Sus scrofa: one gene and its partners. The protein of the gene in region 3 purifies or fractionates together with the protein of the main gene of each other region. This does not show direct contact. Links are inferred from orthologs where the notes say so. Each region holds a gene or a part of one and is shown on either strand. Other genes may lie near its edges.

Evidence for each region.
Region 1: the proteins of RMND5A (region 3) and SKI purify together in Homo sapiens (affinity purification with mass spectrometry; 3 studies listed by BioGRID and IntAct, counting the BioPlex papers as one, with this or other methods). This does not show direct contact. The link is inferred for Sus scrofa from reciprocal best matches to the Homo sapiens genes RMND5A and SKI.
Region 2: the proteins of RMND5A (region 3) and GID8 purify together in Homo sapiens (affinity purification with mass spectrometry; 5 studies listed by BioGRID and IntAct, counting the BioPlex papers as one, with this or other methods). This does not show direct contact. The link is inferred for Sus scrofa from reciprocal best matches to the Homo sapiens genes RMND5A and GID8.

The regions. Positions count from the first base shown.
Region 1 is NC_010448.4:64,186,255-64,191,737, forward strand, and holds the start of SKI (ski oncogene), read left to right. Parts: upstream 1-2,010; 5' UTR 2,011-2,058; coding exon 2,059-3,027; intron 3,028-5,483. UniProt on the Homo sapiens protein: May play a role in terminal differentiation of skeletal muscle cells but not in the determination of cells to the myogenic lineage. Functions as a repressor of TGF-beta signaling.
Region 2 is NC_010459.5:62,172,180-62,177,694, reverse strand, and holds the start of GID8 (glucose-induced degradation protein 8 homolog), read right to left. Parts: upstream 3,474-5,515; 5' UTR 3,287-3,473; intron 3,126-3,286; exon of another isoform or gene 877-3,125; 5' UTR 865-876; coding exon 747-864; intron 1-746. UniProt on the Homo sapiens protein: Core component of the CTLH E3 ubiquitin-protein ligase complex that selectively accepts ubiquitin from UBE2H and mediates ubiquitination and subsequent proteasomal degradation of the transcription factor HBP1.
Region 3 is NC_010445.4:58,093,588-58,098,903, reverse strand, and holds the start of RMND5A (protein RMD5 homolog A), read left to right. Parts: upstream 1-2,051; 5' UTR 2,052-2,682; coding exon 2,683-2,824; intron 2,825-5,316.

The DNA.
Region 1 (5,483 bases), on a different chromosome or scaffold from region 3:
CAGCAGGTGACAGGCTGAAGTGGGTGCGGCCTTCTCACCCACTGTGCCCCATGTGCCCCCCAGTGCCCAGGCCAGTTTGGGTGCTCTCATCCCGTGGAGGAAAAGGTGCCACTGCCGGGTTGGGCTGGAGTGTCCTTCTGCCCTCAGGTTGAGCACAGCCTAAACCTACCTCCTGACCCCGAGTGCCCTGCCCCCAGGCCTCTGCTGGATGCTGCCTCCTCTGGGGGCGCCCCCCCTCCAGCCTGTTCCACCCGGCGCCTTCTGGTTGGCCCCTTGCCCTAGTACAGCCAGTGTGTGGAAGGACGGCAGTGGGGTCTCGGCCTAGGTGCCCTGCAGATGTATAAATGGCTCTCTGGGCCTGGGCGCTGCGGGGTTAGGGCAGGGCCAGTCTGTACTGAGGACACGCGCTGCGCAGCGACCTGGGAGGACCACGCGGACACAGCCCCCAGAGGCAAGCCCTGTCCTGTGGCGCAGCAGTCCTGCACTGGAGCTGGCAGGAGGTGCGGCTGCTGGCTGTGTGGGGAGACCCGGGTGCGGGGTCACAGCGTGGCCCTTCCTGCCAGCAGTCATGCCTTGGCGGTCGGTCCCCAGGACAGGCTGCACGGGGTCTGTCTCCTGCGGGGGGGGTGTGTGTCTCCGGGGTGCTGCACTCCTAACCCACATCGTGTTGCTTGGTGTCCCTGTACTATGTGCGACTTGGATCATTTTGCCTGGTGTCCCCATCGTGTGCGTGGGGACCGCGGCGTTGATGGAGGACGCGCGGCCCGTCCTGTCCGCTCCTCAGCTGGTCTGCGGTTGTGGTGGGGGCCCCGTGTGGGTTTCTGGGCTCTGGTGGCGACGGGGCGGCGGGCCGGGGGCCTTCGCGGCCGCGCAGGAAGCGGCCTCCGCCGGATGAGGGGCCTGGGGCGCCGCCGTCGCCCCCGCGGAGCCGCCTTCCGGCGGGTGGGGCCGATCGGCGCCGAACAGCGCTGAACCCCTGGCGGCTGCGGCCGAGCGGAGCCGAGCGGAGCCGAGCAGACCCGAGTCCCCGGCGGGCTGGGCCGAGCGGAGCCGAGTCCCGGGCGGACGGGCCCGAGCGCGGCCGAGCGCGGCCGAGCGCCGGGCGTGGGCGGGGGGAGCGCGCGTTCCTGGAAGAGCCGGGTCGGGGGGCCGGCGCATTCCAGGCCGGCGCTCGGCTGAGGCGGACGCGCGGCCCCAGACGACGCGCGGGGCGGGGCGGCGGCGCGGCGCGGGGCGGGGCGCGGGGCGGGGCGGCGGCGTGAGCTCAGCGCCCGGCGCTCAGTCCGAGCTGGAGCGAGCCGCCGGGAGGATGTGCGCCGATCTCCGCGCCGCCGCCGCCGCCGCGGTCTGAGGCCGCCGCCACAGGCGCTCCGCCGCCCCGGAAGCCGCGCGCGCGCGCGCGCGGGCGGGCGGGCAGGCCGCGGAGCCGGGCGCGGGCGGCGGGGTGGGCGCGGGCCGGGCCGGGAGGCCGGCGGCGGGCGCGACGCGGCCGGCCAGCGCCGCCGGGACGAGCCGGGCGGGCGCCGCGCGGTGGGAGGAGCGGGGCGGCGGCGGCGGCGCGCCGCGCGAGGACGGCCCGGCGGGCCCCGCGCCCGCGCCCCCGCTCCTCCCGGGCCCCTCGGCCTCGGCCGCCGCGGCGATTCGCGCCTCGCGGCGCCGGCACCTGCCCGCGCGCCCCCCGCGAGCCCCGGGCCCGCGAGCGTTGGCGTTGGCGTTGGCGGCGCGCGCTGGGGCATGCCCCGCGCCTAGGGCCCGGGGGGCGCGCGGGGGGCGCGCGGGGGCCCGGGCGGCGGCGGGCGCGGCGCGGGGCGCGTGGATGTGGCGCCGGGCCCGGGCGGCGGCGGGCTGCAGCGGCGGGACCCCTTCGCCCCGCCCGCCTTCCCCTTCGCGCCCCCGGGCGAGGCCGAGGCCGCGGCCGTGATCGGCCGGGAGCCGGTGGCGGGGGGCGGCCGGGGCCGGGGCCGGGGGCGCCGCCGGGGCGCGCGGGGCGGCGGCGGCGGGGGCCGCGGGGGCCCGGGCGCGCGGGAGCGGGAGCGGCCTGGGGAGCCGGAGCGCACCATGGAGGCGGCGGCGGGCGGCCGGGGCGGCTTTCAGCCGCACCCGGGGCTGCAGAAGACGCTGGAGCAGTTCCACCTGAGCTCCATGAGCTCGCTGGGCGGCCCGGCCGCCTTCTCGGCGCGCTGGGCGCAGGAGGCCTACAAGAAGGAGAGCGCCAAGGAGGCGGGCGCGGCCGCGGTGCCGGCGCCGGTGCCCGCGGCCGCCGAGCCTCCGCCGGTGCTGCACCTGCCCGCCATCCAGCCGCCGCCGCCCGTGCTGCCCGGGCCCTTCTTCATGCCGTCCGACCGCTCCACGGAGCGCTGCGAGACCGTGCTGGAGGGCGAGACCATCTCGTGCTTCGTGGTGGGCGGCGAGAAGCGCCTGTGTCTGCCGCAGATCCTCAACTCGGTGCTGCGCGACTTCTCGCTGCAGCAGATCAACTCGGTGTGCGACGAGCTGCACATCTACTGCTCGCGCTGCACGGCCGACCAGCTGGAGATCCTCAAAGTCATGGGCATCCTGCCCTTCTCGGCGCCCTCGTGCGGGCTCATCACCAAGACGGACGCCGAGCGCCTGTGCAACGCGCTGCTCTACGGCGGCGCCTACCCGCCGCCCTGCAAGCAGGAGCTGGCCGCCAGCCTGGCGCTGGGCCTGGAGCGCAGCGAGCGCAGCGTGCGCGTGTACCACGAGTGCTTCGGCAAGTGCAAGGGACTGCTGGTCCCCGAGCTGTACAGCAGCCCGAGCGCCGCCTGCATCCAGTGCCTGGACTGCTCTCTCCTGTACCCACCGCATAAGTTCGTGGTGCACTCGCACAAGGCCCTGGAGAACCGGACCTGCCACTGGGGCTTCGACTCGGCCAACTGGCGGGCCTACATCCTGCTGAGCCAGGACTACACCGGCAAGGAGGAGCAGGCGCGCCTCGGCAGATGCCTGGACGACGTCAAGGAGAAGTTCGACTACGGCAACAAGTACAAGAGGCGGGCGCCCCGGGTGAGTGTCCTGCGAGCGGCGGCGGCGCGCCTGGGGGGGGGCGGCGGCGGTGGGGGGGGGGTGGTGGCTGTGGGCAGGGGCTGGGGCGCGCGGTGCGACCTGTGCTTCCTCCGCCTCCACACGTCTCGGTGTTTTGTTTTGTTTTGTTTTAAGGAGACTGGGGTGGGGGGGCAGGGGAGTGTCCTTGTCCCCCTAGAGGGCCAGGTAGCCCGGGAGGAAGAGCCTCCTGTCTGACTCCCAGCCTGAGCCAGGCTGGCCTGGTTGGGAGCCCTGGGGAGCCTGGGGCAGGCTTGGTGGGCGAAGCCTTGCTGAGGCCCACGGTCATTGCCCAGACAGCCGGGAGGGGCAGGCTGCAGACCTTGGACTCTCTGTCCCGAGTCCCCGGGAAAGTGGTTCTGGCTGGGCCCAAGCTGGAGCTCCAAGTCCAGTCCTTCCTCGGGCCCAAAGCAAGTGTCCAGCCCCCATGCGCGAGGGGGACTGCCCTGGCCCCCAAGCTCCCAGGCTCGCACACGGGGTGCCTGGCACTTCCCAGCAGGCAGAACTTGGCCAGGCGGGGCCTGTTTGTGCCTTGAAGTCTCGGGAGACAGACTCAAAGCCCAAGCCAGGTGTCCAGGCCCTGGTGGCAGGGGGCCGAGACTTGGCGACTCCAGCTCTCTGTGTCTGCCCTGGCCTGGCAGGCAGTGAATTGTGGAGTCCCCCGTGTGGGGGCGAGGGCTGCTTGGCACAGGGCTTGGGGACTGGTCAGCGGGCACCCAGGGCCCCGGGTGTCAGGGTAGCCGCCGGCCTGTGATTCGTTTTGGACATGTCCTTATCTCCTTGTTTCCTTCTCGCTGAAACGCCGAAGGGTGCAGCAGGGAGGCCGCTGGCCGAGGCGCTGTTGTTTGCCAGGCTGGGGGTCTGTGTGATCCGGCCTGGCTGCTCCCGGGCCACCAGGCGCCCCAGCCCTCCATCAGGGTCGACACCAACTTTTCATGGCGTCTTCCCCCCGCCCCAAGTATTTGCAACTTTTCTTTGAAATATGCAGGCTTATTAAATTGCACACACAGAATGCTGCACTGGCTCAGCTATTCTTGGGAGGCCTAATTAATTCAGCTATTGCATCAAACTTTTTTTTTTCCAAATCTGTGAATAGATGCTCCCCCCAGTTCTCTCTGGGCGCCTCTCCAGCGGAGTGTCAGAGTCTCAGGGAGCGGAGGAGGGGAGGGAATAAGGGCCTGCTGCCCGCGCTCAGAGGGGCCACCGCGTGTGCGTCCGTGTATCTGGTGGTGGTGCTGCCCTTGGCTAGGCCAGCGCCCAGGTGGCAGCTGTCTGCAGGCTGTGGAGTTGGCACGGGGTGGGGGAGCCGGTCTGGGTGGGCAGCTCGGTGGGGGAGGGTGCCCATGGGAACGGCTGCCGGCAGATCTCAGCAGGCTGGCCAGGCCCGTCGTGCAGGCTGCTGTTGGCTGTGGGTGGCGTGATGGGTGCTCCCCGGGGCCTGGGGTGCCCGCTCCCTCGACAGCCATCTTGCCGGCGCTGGTGGGTTCTGGCGGGCTGGTTAAGCCTGTGGTGGGCAAGGCTGTGGCGGGTTCCTCTGCTCCAGAGTGGACAGCAGAGGGTCCACGGGTGGTTGGGACTGCGGCAGGGTGTGTGCCCGTCTGGGTCCTGGTCTGGGTCCTGGGTGGTTGGGACTGTCTTGCTGGGGTCTGCTTTTTGTCATCGCTGAAGGCCCTTCCGGGCCCTGGTGTCCGCAGGCTCAGGGAAGGCCTGGCCCAAGCTGGTGGCCTGGAGGGGAGGCCGGAGCATGCTGGTGATTTCAACAGATGGTCAGCGCCCCGTCCTCCTCCGCTGCTCTCCGCAGTGCTGCTCGGAAACCTCGTTTCCTGCTTAGAAAAACGCCACGGGTGACGATGAAGACAGGGTCATCGGAAGGGGTTGGAGTCTCCGGGTCTCAGTGTCACCCCGCCCTTGGTGACCAGGGTCGCGGGCCTCCTCCAGGCCCCGGCTGCTGGCCGGCCGCTCCCTGGCTCCCCCCCCCCGCCCCCCGTCTTGGGACCCGCCGCCCTGGCCCTGTGGCTGAGCAGCCGGGAATTCTGGGGTGCCTGGTCCCTTTGGGGTGCGCCCGGCCGTGCCCTTGCCTGTCTACCCGCCAGCGACACCCGGGAGGAGGCGGGGGTCTCAGCCTCAGGGTTGTTCTGGAGGCAGCAGCCTAGACAGACCCTCCCTCCCAGTGCCTGCTCGGGCCCCGCTCCGCCCGCTCCTCGCGCCCGGGTCTTCATGGAGTCTGTTTTGACTTTTTTCCGCCTCTTTTCTGGCTTATTTAAATATGTTTGTCCCACTGAGAACGAGGCCCGAAGGGAACCAAGACTGTTCTGGGCCCTCTCTCAGCAGGGACACGGCTCGCCGGGCCTCGGGGTCCCGGTGTTGGGGGCCTCGGGGTGGCCCGGGTCTCCTGCCGGCCGGGACTCCTCTGCCATCAG
Region 2 (5,515 bases), on a different chromosome or scaffold from region 3:
GGAGCACTTTGTCACCGTCCATCCCGCCCGAAACACCCCGACCTCGCCGATGGCGAGGATGGGTGCTGAGGCCAGGGTGCTGGTGCAGCTCCTTGCAGGGGCTGGGGCCAGGCCTGGCGGGGAGAAGCTGTCCGGCCGGCCGGGGAAGCAGGGCCCTGGCGGCTGGCAGGACGCAGCCACTGCCCCTTTGGTGAGTCCGTGACCCCCTTGGACATGAAAGCAACGCCACCCACAGCGCTCCGCCCGCCGACACACGTGCGCACACAGCTTCAGGCCGCTGCTTCCTAACGCTTGTCAGAAAGGAGCCCTAACAGAGATGGACCCGGGCCGGGGGCGGGCACCCGGAACCCCCAGGAGGAGACTCGCACCCTCTGGAGACCCGTAGGTGGTCTCCCAGCGCCCAGAGCCACCCTCCTCCTCTCCAGGGTCAGGGGCACTGAGGGGCAGTGGCTGGCCAAACGGGCCAGCCCGGCCTTCGCGTTGACTCAGAATGACCCTCGCTACTCCGGCCAGTTACAAAGACGTCCAAGGCCGAGCAGCAGGGCTTGGCCTCTGGTCCCGGAGCCCTAGGACCGTGACATCGGCTCCAGAGAAGGGGCATCCCTTTAAAACGATCGCTGCAAGGTCACTGTGTCCGCACTGCGTTTGGCTGAGGCCTGACCGCGGGGCAGGGCCGTGGTAAGGCCTGCTGGGCACAGCCCGGGAGGAGCCTGTCCGAGCGGCACGGCCTCAGCGCAGCCCGTTACCTGTGACCAGGTAGTTCATGATGAGGCGGTTCATGTCTGCTCGCTGGACGTGCAAGTTGTTGAGCTTCTCCATCCACTCGTCCTTCGTGATCTCGTCGGGTTTTTCCGCGTAACTCATTCCGAATTACTTCTACGGGGGAAAAAGGAATGTTTGAGGAACCGACGAAGAATTGTGTGTCAGCTGCGAACATTTTGGAAACAAACACAGCGACAGAGCAAGAAGTAAAAGGCAGAGGGGGCAGATACTTGCGATGTGGAAAACAGCAAGTGCAAAGGACCTGAGCCTCAACACGGTCGGTGTCTGGAAGGTAAGACGGACGCGAGGAAGCGCTGACGGTCTTAGAACCAAGGTCTGGCGGTCAGCTGGGGTCAGACTAGAGCCCTCCAGGCCGAGGGAGAGCTCTAGAGGGACCCTCTCCTAAGCAGAGGGCGGCTGCGGGAGGTACAGGCTGAAGTCCCGGCTGCTGTGTGTGCCTGAGAGAAGCCTGCGTCCCACAGCCACTGGCCAGGCAGAAAGGGAAAGGTCCGACGGCAGCGAGAGTTAACAGAGCCACGGGGCTCTCCCCACCCGACCCTGGGCTCCCCCAGATCTGCCTGCACGCAGACGCGCGCAGCTCCTCCCGCTGGACGGAGTCCCTCCAAAACTCACCACTGGGCTGACACACACCAGCCCGTGCACAGACTGTGCAAAATGGCACAGTGTGGAGGCCGTGCACCCAGAGTTCATCCAACAGCAGCACGGACAAACATCCTGTGCTTCCCGGACCACAGGCCCAGCTCCGAAACCCTGGCACAGACTGGTTTCAGAACTTAGAATTGCTCAGACTGTACAGAGACCATCTGGGGAGTTCCCGTTGTGACGCAGCAGGTTAAGAGCCTGACAGTGTCCGTGAGGACGCAGGTTTGATCCCTGGCCTCGCTGGATGGGTGAAGGATCTGGCATTGCCGAAGGCTGCGGTGGCCTGGACCCGGCGTTATGGAGGCCTGTGGCTGTGGCTCCAACTCGACCCCTAGCCCAGGAGCTTCCACAGGCCGCAGGTCAGGATGTAAAGAGAAAAAGAAAGTGTTCAGCCATACACACACACACACACACACACAAACAAAACTGCTTTGTTGTTGTTGTGAGGGCCTGAAACATGACCCTCGGGAGGCGGTCACCCCTGGGAGAGGGTCCCTGGGAGCAGCAGGCAGGCTCTCGAGACAGACGGTGAGTCCACTTCAGTTTTACCCCTGTTACTGACAAAGGTGTTGCGGATATTACCTTACATCCAGCAAAGTACATCTGAAATTGCGTCCAGACATGAAGCCTAAAGGACGCTCTGGTTTCCCGGCAGACGTGGGAGGACTGTGGGTGGTGAGGGCTGAGCCGGAGGATGAGCCAGGGGCCACCCGGACAAGGAAGAGCAGCTATGCAAGAGCCAGAGGGCAGAGCCCACCTGAGGACACCGAGCCAGGTGTCTGCTGCTGGACCTCACGTGGAAGGACAACAGAACCAATGCGATGAGGACCATGGAGACCGGGAGACCCTGGCGCGTGGAGCCGCAAGTGAGGAGGAAGGACTGGGAGAGGAACAGGTTTGAGGAGCCAGGCCAGTTTGGGCTGCCTATTACACACGCCGCAGGAGTCAAGGCGGCACCTGGATCACAGGTCCCGAGCTCAGCGCCGGAAGCATTCATTAGGGAAACATGCGCCACACCAAGACTGAAAGCCCGGATTCCGCCAAGGCTGCCCAGGGAGAGAGTGGGCGTGGGGAGCAGAGGGGCGCCAGACCAAGTCCTCGGTAGCGGGGACGCCGTGCCCAACTCGGATCAGCAGAGGAGGAGGCGCGGCGAAAGCAAACTTAGCTTGTAGGAAGACCTAAGCGGGAGCTGCGGTCCTTCCAGCGCACACCTAGCCCTCGCGGCTACGGCCAACTTCACGACCAGCGGCGTAACTCCCTCAGATCCAACCCTGACTCCCAGACAACAGAGCGAGAGCTGATGTAACAGCGCTGGAGAACGGACCCGGGAACCACCCCAGCTCCGAGGGCGCGGGACCCCAGCTCCCCAAGCGGCAGCGTCCGACCTCAGCACTTGGACCTCCGCTCTGAAGCGGCTCTGTGTCCAAACAGTTCCCTTGCGACACAAGTGCGCCGTGTCGACAACCATCACCCCAGCAGGCGACCGCCCCTCAAGGCTGCAGCCTTCCCTCGAAAGGCGCTCGGGTCGGGAACACACACTGAATCCCGGACCCGGGCTCCGCCGCGGCTAGCGAGGAGGGAGGCAGGTTGACTCGCAAACCCTGCGAGCGCCGCCTCCCGCGAGAACGCGGCCCGATTCGGTCCTGCTCGGACCTTCGACCCGGAAGGCCCTGGCGCGGGACGCCCCGGCCCAACCCCCTCTCCGGCCCCTCTCCCCTCTCCCGCCCCGCGCCCGTCCTCCCCGGCCCCGACCCCGGCCCGGCCCCTCCCCTCCCGGGGCCCTCCGCTCCCCGCCCCCGCCCCGCCGCGCTCCCGCGGGAACGCTGGGCCCGACCGCCCGGGCCCGCCGCGGCCATCTTACCGTTCGGATCCCGCCTGCCGCGCTTCGGGGGGGGGGTCTTCGCGGCCGCGCGGGGGGCCGGGCTGGGCGGGGAGGGGGCGGCGACGCCGGGGAGGGGGAGGTGGAGGCGGGGGCCGCGGCGGAGGCGGGGGCGGGGAACGGGAGGGCAGACGCACCGGCGGCCGCCCCCTCAGCCACTTCCCGCGAGATCGCCAGCTCGAGAGCCGGCAGCCAATCAAGTGCTCCCGAAGGGGGGGCGGGGCGAAGCGGCCCACCGGAAGCGCGGAACCCCAGCTTCCGCCCTTGCGCAGAACTCCCCTCGCGGCGCCCTCGCTCTACGGATTGGCGCGAGAGTCAAAAGGCGTCGGCCGCTTCTGGGTAAGATGGCTGCCGCGGAGGTGTCGTTGTGGGGCAACTTTGCGTCGGGACGGCGACATCTAGACTGAGTCGGAGGCGAAGGTTCCAGCGTCCTTCCGTCTTTGGTGTGAGCCCGCGGGCATGGGCGGGAGCGGGGGGCAGGCGCCGGTGCTCCGCGCAGGCCCGAGGCAGGGTTCCTCCTGGCCGGGCGCCTGCCTTCGCGCAGGCCGGGGAGGAGCCGCCGCCCGAGCGCGGCCGGCGGGAGGTCTCCGCTCCGACGGTTGGGGCGGGCTCGGGGGCCACGCGGCCGCGGCCGAGAGCGTGCAGCCGCTCGCTGCCGGATGACTCACCCGGAACGGGCCTGCCCTCAGGGAGCCTCCCGCCCGGGGGCCCTGCGGCCCGGGGCCCGGGGGTCTTTCCCGCCCGGGCTCCCTTAGCCGCGCTGGGGTTGGGCGAAGGCTGCAGCATGTGCCACGGGGGCCGGGAGAGCGGAGGGTCCCCCTGCGCCGTGGCCGGACCTGGTGCTCGTGGAGGTGCAGAAAGGCACCTTCATTTGGTTGTTTTCGTCCGTCTGCTGGAGCAAAGTGCAGACTTGGTCAGAGCAGGGCCTCGTTTTCTCGTTACTGGAGAGTAAAGTGAAAAGATGTTAGAACTCTTTCAGGAAGGAAATTGAGGGGGCAGCCCTTTATTCCATCGGATGAAATCCGCCGTCCTCCTGCAGTCAGAGGCTGGAGGGTTGGTGTGGTTGCTCTAGAGTCACCTAAGAAACGTGGAGGTGGTGTGGGGCTTCTTGCACAGAGAGCTATTTGGCAAATAGGTTTGACAGGGAGGACGAATTGTAGATTATTTCCGTTCGTCGAATGAGCTACATTTGCAGGTTCAAAGCTTTGGCACAAATCTGTTTAAAGTGCAGATGTAAATGCCTGACAGACGTGCGATTCCATTCTTTTCAGAGACTCAATCCTGTAAACAACCTTCGCTGTCAGCTCAGTAGTGAGAGGTGCAGACTTTAAAAATTATTTCAAGGGTGCACGAGCACATGCCGGTGCCCTGAGGAGACAGAACGTTCCAGCCCCTAAAAAGGGTTCAGGGGGCCTTCTCTGTGGGTCATAGGTTAGCGGCCGCTCTCCCCAGGTCCTGCGCCCCCCTCATTCCACCTAGACAGGGGCTGCCTTCTGTGGCTCCCAGCCTCGCCCCCACAACACCGAGGCGCCCTCCTTCCTCTCCTCCTCCGTCCCGGGGACCCTGCCAGCTCCCTCGAGACACCCCCGCGGCAGGCAGGGCGATCTCCCTTCGTCCCTGTCCTCTTCACACCCCTCAGAGACTCCCCTTTGGCACCAAATGAGCTGAAAGCCTCGCTCCCCTGTCTCGCCCTTTCTCTCCCCATCGCCCTCTGGGCTCTCGGCCTGTGTCCCGCACTCCCCAGGCTCGCTCCTGGGAGTGGGGAGAAGGACCCTGGCAAGCAGGCTGTAGCGCCCCCCCCTAATGCTCACCTGGTCCCCACACTGTCCCCTTGGTGTGTTTAGCTCCTGACCTGTGTGGCAGGTGCCTGTGAGCGGGTCACGACTTACCTGAAACACCTGAGCCTCCGCAGAGCTGAAGCGTCTGGCGCGTGGCGGGAGGCCCGTGGATGCTGGCTGGGAATGTGGAGGAGGGAATGGATGCGCCACGAGGACCCCAGCTGGAAGCAGGGACGGCCAGGGGAGGGGACGGTCTGGAGTGGGTTGACGGCCGTGGAGTGACAGGGGAGGAAGGTGGCGCTCAGGTGCGTGGCCAGTGAGGGCGGTGGTGGTGGCACCAACCGAGGGAGAACGTGAGTTCAGCCTGGGCCGCGTGCGTTGAAGTGCCTGTGAGTGTCCATAGCTCGAGGGCAGATGAGGCTGCAGGTGACAG
Region 3 (5,316 bases):
AGAGAGAAGCAATTTGAATGTGTTCTCCAAGGACAGCAGGTAAAGAGAAAAGAGAACGTTGAGGACAGAACCTGGGGCAAATACCGATCCACAAAGGTGGCTAAATGAGAAAAGAGCCAGGAGGGGAGAAGGGGTGACTGAACCATACCGTGGCAATGCCCTGGAGGTCAAGGAAGAATTTTAAAGTTGTGATGGTGGGTCACAACTTTCAAATGTAGCAGTGAGGTCAAGGGGAAAAAAAAAAAGACAGAAAAGGATGACAGAGCTTATCAAGAAGATCCTTGGAGAAACAGGAGGAACAAGAGTGGAGGATTTTTTCGGGCAGCCTGGCCATGAAAAGACTGAGCAGAAAAGGGAAACAGCCTAAGGAGGGTTGAATGAAGGCTCTCCCCACATCCTCAGGTCAGCTGGCCACTTAAAAAGGGAGAAGGCACGCCTTTTCTGTTGGGTACTTGACAACAGTTCATAAAATGGATACAACAGATGGACACACTTTGAGAAGGGTGACAGAAGGTGCTGGAGTTGAATGTTTTTTACCTTCTCAGTGAAGGAGGAATCAGGGCCACCTGTCAAGGGAGAGAGGAGAAAGGAAAACAGGTTAGGTGGGGAAGAGAAAGGCCATGTGTAAGAGCAACAGTGCGGCTGCCCTTGAGTATCACGGAGAACTAAATAAAACGACTAGGTAGGTGCTGGACCAACGTGATTCCATGATTTTTAAGTTGCCATCTCATATTTACTCCTGGGAACTGACACTAGTAGCAACCACCACTGTTTATCATGTAGTTATCATGTGCTACTGGGTGTTTACCTAAATTATCTTCATTTTCCTAACAATAGATCGAAGTATTATTAGTTCTAATTATTACCAAACTATAAAAAGAGACACTGAGGCTCAAAAAGGTTTTACCTTAATAATAATAATAATAAAAAGACCAGGTACTATGTTGCCAATCACTGTTCTGGGCACAGAAAACAGAGGCCAGGGGGCTGCCTTAGCGCTTTATTGAAGGAGTGCAGACAGAAAAGTGAATGAAAATAACTGAAACAGATAACAAGTGGTGAGAAAATAGTAAAACGGCTATGATTGACCATAATAAATATGGTGTAGTAATGGAGGAGGGAATGTGGTCAGGGGGGGACCCTCTGTGGTACAAGTGAGCCGAAAATTTTAGGATGACACGATGGAAGAGTTTTCTAGTCCAAAGAAAGGCTAAGTACAGAGGTCCTGAGGCAAGCATCAACTTGGCTTCTAGGAGGAACGCTAAGCTAAGGTCGGGGCAGTCACAGCTTAGTGAGCAAGTAGGTACAGGCCAAGGTAGGAGGCGCCATGGCAAGTCAGGGGAAGGATTCACGCGAAGGGGGTAACTCCATCGGAAGCAATGGAATAACGAGCCGAAGAGGCAGGAGCCAGGCTGCCCCGAGGTCCGACGCAAGTTTCCCTTCCGTGATGCTGCCCCCGGGGTGAGGCAACCCGTCAGGAGAGTCCCAGGGGCCAAAGGGCCGAGGCCCGCGGGGGTGGGGGTGGAGGTGTAAGGCTTGTGACCTCCCGGTGTAGCGAGAATCGAGGCAGGATCGCGGGCCACGCCCGGCCAACAAGCAGCCCCCTTCTCCCACCTCAGAATCCCCCTCTTCTTATTCCAGTTAGCGACCCCCGCCCGCAGCACCACCCACTCCGCTCGGCCTGGCTGGATTTTTCCTCGGGGCGGCGAGTCTGCTTTCCAAAACTTGGAGAAGACAGTACCCTCAGGAATGACAGGGAGATGAAATAACTCAGGGCTGGGGCGAAGTCCTATGGGAAATAGGCCTTTTTATTTCTGCCTTGTTTTCCCTCACGGCTTTCCAGAAACGACTTGCTTCCCAGGATGCTCTCCAAATCACCCCCTCCAACAGCGAGACTATTGGTTTGGCCTCTAGTCCCAGATTGGCTGAAGGATTAGGCCTCGGCCAGGGATTGGAGGACGTTCGTTCCTTACGTATTCTCGGCGCTTATTGGTTCGTTTTCTCCGTTTCTGGGCGGAGTGGTGACGGGCGGTTTCCACCCTCTTGTTTACGGAGCGCGTAGTTGTAGCGCTCTCGGAGCTCTGGGGCTGGCTCCAAAGTTCCCTATTTAGCTCCTCGGCCCAATTGGATCTTTGCTCCGCCCTCTCCCGCTCCCTTGCACGCCTCCCGCGTGGTAGGGCCCACACCTTTAGAGCGGCGGCGCGAGCGGACGCTCGTCACGTTCCTCCGCCCGCGCTCGCCGGCCGCCTCCCCCCGCCACGAGCGTGCGCTTGGTACGGCCCCCGCCGCCTCCATCCCTCGCTGGGGTGGCTGCCCCCCCTCGGGTCGGCGGCGCTTGGTGCCGCCCGGGAGAACCAGGTCATCGGTCGGTTCCCGTGAAAACAAAAACAATCGGCGGCGCCGCGTCGGACAGCGAACGCGGCGAGCGGGGGCTCGGGGCCGGGTGGGAAGAACGAGCGGGAGCAGCGGCGACGCGCCGGGGTCGGGGCGCCATGGGGCAGGCGGGCGCGGGCTGCGCGGAGCTCCCTCGGCGCCGGGGCTAGCGCGTCCGCCTCTTCAGTCTCCCGTGCCGCCCGCTTGGGGGACGAGGAGCAGGACGCGGCCTCGGCCGGGCCCGGGCCGAACGGCTGCGGACACCCGGGCGCTGGGCAGCCGAGCGCCGCTGCCGCCACCGCCTCCGGGATGGATCAGTGCGTGACGGTGGAGCGCGAGCTGGAGAAGGTGCTGCACAAGTTCTCGGGCTACGGGCAGCTGTGCGAGCGCGGCCTGGAGGAGCTTATCGACTACACGGGCGGCCTCAAGCACGAGATCCTGCAGAGCCACGGTAGGGCGGCCCGGGTGGGCGCGCGGGGCCAGGCCTCGGCGGGCCAGGAAGGGTGGCCTCCGGGGGCCTCGGCTCCTCCTTCCCTGCGGCCCTTTTGGCTTTTTCCTGCTTCTCTCTCCGGTTTTGTCTCCAACTTACCCCGACCTCGTTGTTAATTAAGAGTGAGCCCGAACCCACCCGGAAAACCAATTCTGAAGCCTGGGGCTCCAGCCCAGGTTAAACGGGGGTGGGGCCGTCCGTCGCACCTGCAAACTGCCGCCCTCCCGGGCTGGGCTCCCCTGGTCAGTTGCCTTGGGCATAAGGCTCTGGGTAAACAGAGAGTCAGTGCAGGGAGCCCCCTCTTTCTTCTCTGCCCCAAACTCTTAGCGCAGAGACTTACTTTTCTCGTCTTTCCTTTTCTTTCTTTTTCTTTTTTTTTTTAAATTAGAAAGTTGAGTGTTATTCTTAGCTGTGGGTTAACAGAACAGCCGCTTCTGCAACTCCATAATTTAACTCTGTGTGGAAGCAGTTTTTCTTTAATTCGGCAGCGGCACTGACTTGATTGCTAGGAAACTAGCTGAACCAAACTGTTCAGCTCTCCTCCTGGAGCCAGTGATGAGACGGAGGAACTCTCCAGAAACACATTGTGGCACAAGTTGGTAGTTAACTTGCTTACCTGGTCAAGTTTTTAACTTGTTTTCCTTTCAGAAAACAGATTTTCTATAGTAGGTGTTTTTCCTATATGGTTACTGCCTAGACCCTGGGGGCAGATACTTTGCCAAAGTTTAATTTGTGGAAGCTGCTTGGGAAGGGTTTGTTTTTTTTTGTTTTTTAAATAACATTCAACGTCTGATGTTTGAATTTAAATATCCACAGTGGTGATTCCTTCTGAGCCAGAAGTAAAGGACTTTATGTGATGGATTTATTGAAGAGCTGTTCGGAGGCCTTTTCAACTTGGAGGCAGAACAGAATTTTTTTGAAAAGGAAGGTTTGGGGGGATGTGTAGACCTGGCAGGTGAGGTTGAGGAGAGTGGTCCTAGTTGAGCCTCTCTCCACCGCTCCTTCTTTCTTGCACACCTTCCTTTCCCAGACTGCTTTATCCTGAGAGTTAGTGCTTCTGAAGGGGAAGTAGACCTAGAGTGGGGTGGGACTCTGGGGAGGTGCTGGTGAACTTGGTTTTGGACAAGTGAGAAGCTGAAGGGCTAATGAAGATTGAGTCAAGAGCTCAGTGATATTTTCTGGTGGCTGAAGATACATAGGTGGAGTTTGGGAGGAGGTAAGGTCTAGGGTGGTTTCCTGGTGTCCTTTCTGCGGGAGAGGGAAGGAGAGCCCTTAGGCCACAGGGAGGAAAGACTTTAGGATCTAAGCATAGCCTTGAAGCGTGGAAGGCCAGGAGGAGCCTGCAGAAAGGACGGGTTTAGAGAAAGAGAGGTTGGTCAAGGTTTGTGGCTGCTGGGAGTCAGTGACCCTCTTTACTTGCAGTTTCATAGAATTGTTAAAATAAACTAGGTGACAGAGAGGTAAGAAGAATGTGCAGATCAAGGTGAAGGGGGCTGCTTCAGTAAAGGGACTGAAGGAGTGCCCCTCCCCCTCCACTGGGGAGGAAATCTTGGTCTTGTTAAAGACTGAAAGGGAAGGAGTGAGTGAAGGGTGTAGACTTGGAGAGGCAGAAGGAACATTTCAGTTTTACTGACCAGGTCAGAGATTGAGGGCTGGGTTAGGCAGAGCTTGAGAGAGAGAAGATGGAAAGTAAAATCCCTTTCTTCCCTGAGAGAGAGAGAGAGAGAGAGAGAGAGAGAGATAGAGGGCATGCTAATTGAAGGGGGATGTGGTTGTGAACCTTGTTGTAGGGGATTTGGGGTCCATCCCGGGTGGACAAAATAATTTGGAGAAATTGCTAAAGTGGGAATTTTAGACCTCCTCGCTTGTTATTGGGGAACTTTTCAAGGAATTTACAGCCAGTAGGATATTAGCCACAGAGTTTGCTGGGCTGTTTAAAAAGTCTGATGTGATGAATTGCTCATGTTTTCTTTTCAGCCTCCTGCTTTTTACTTTGTCTACCAAATTGCAGTCTTATATTGATATCTCTGATTTTCTCCAATTCTTTGCTAATAGGATGACATGACTAAAGGCAACTATAAAATATGAAAAAAATACTGCTTAAATGCCAAGTCTCATTTTCAAAATAAAACCTTCCTTATGGTGTTCTTATGTACGAAGTCAGTAAACATCAGGTTTTGGTATCTGGGTTATGATATTTTCAAAGCAGATAAAATCCTCTGCAGGCAGTGTGGGTATTACGCTGAATCTGAGATATACCCATCTGAAAGTTATATCTACTGAAATCTGAGTTTGGAACTCCATTTTCAAGTGTAATGGGAAATTTCCAAGGCTTTGAATGTACCTGTCTGGGCAAGTGATCTCGTGGGCTTCTATGACCTGAGGGAGGGGCGCCACCTGGGACCCTCTATTAGGGCTTTGGATCTCATTCTCTGCACTCATTTGTGGTGACA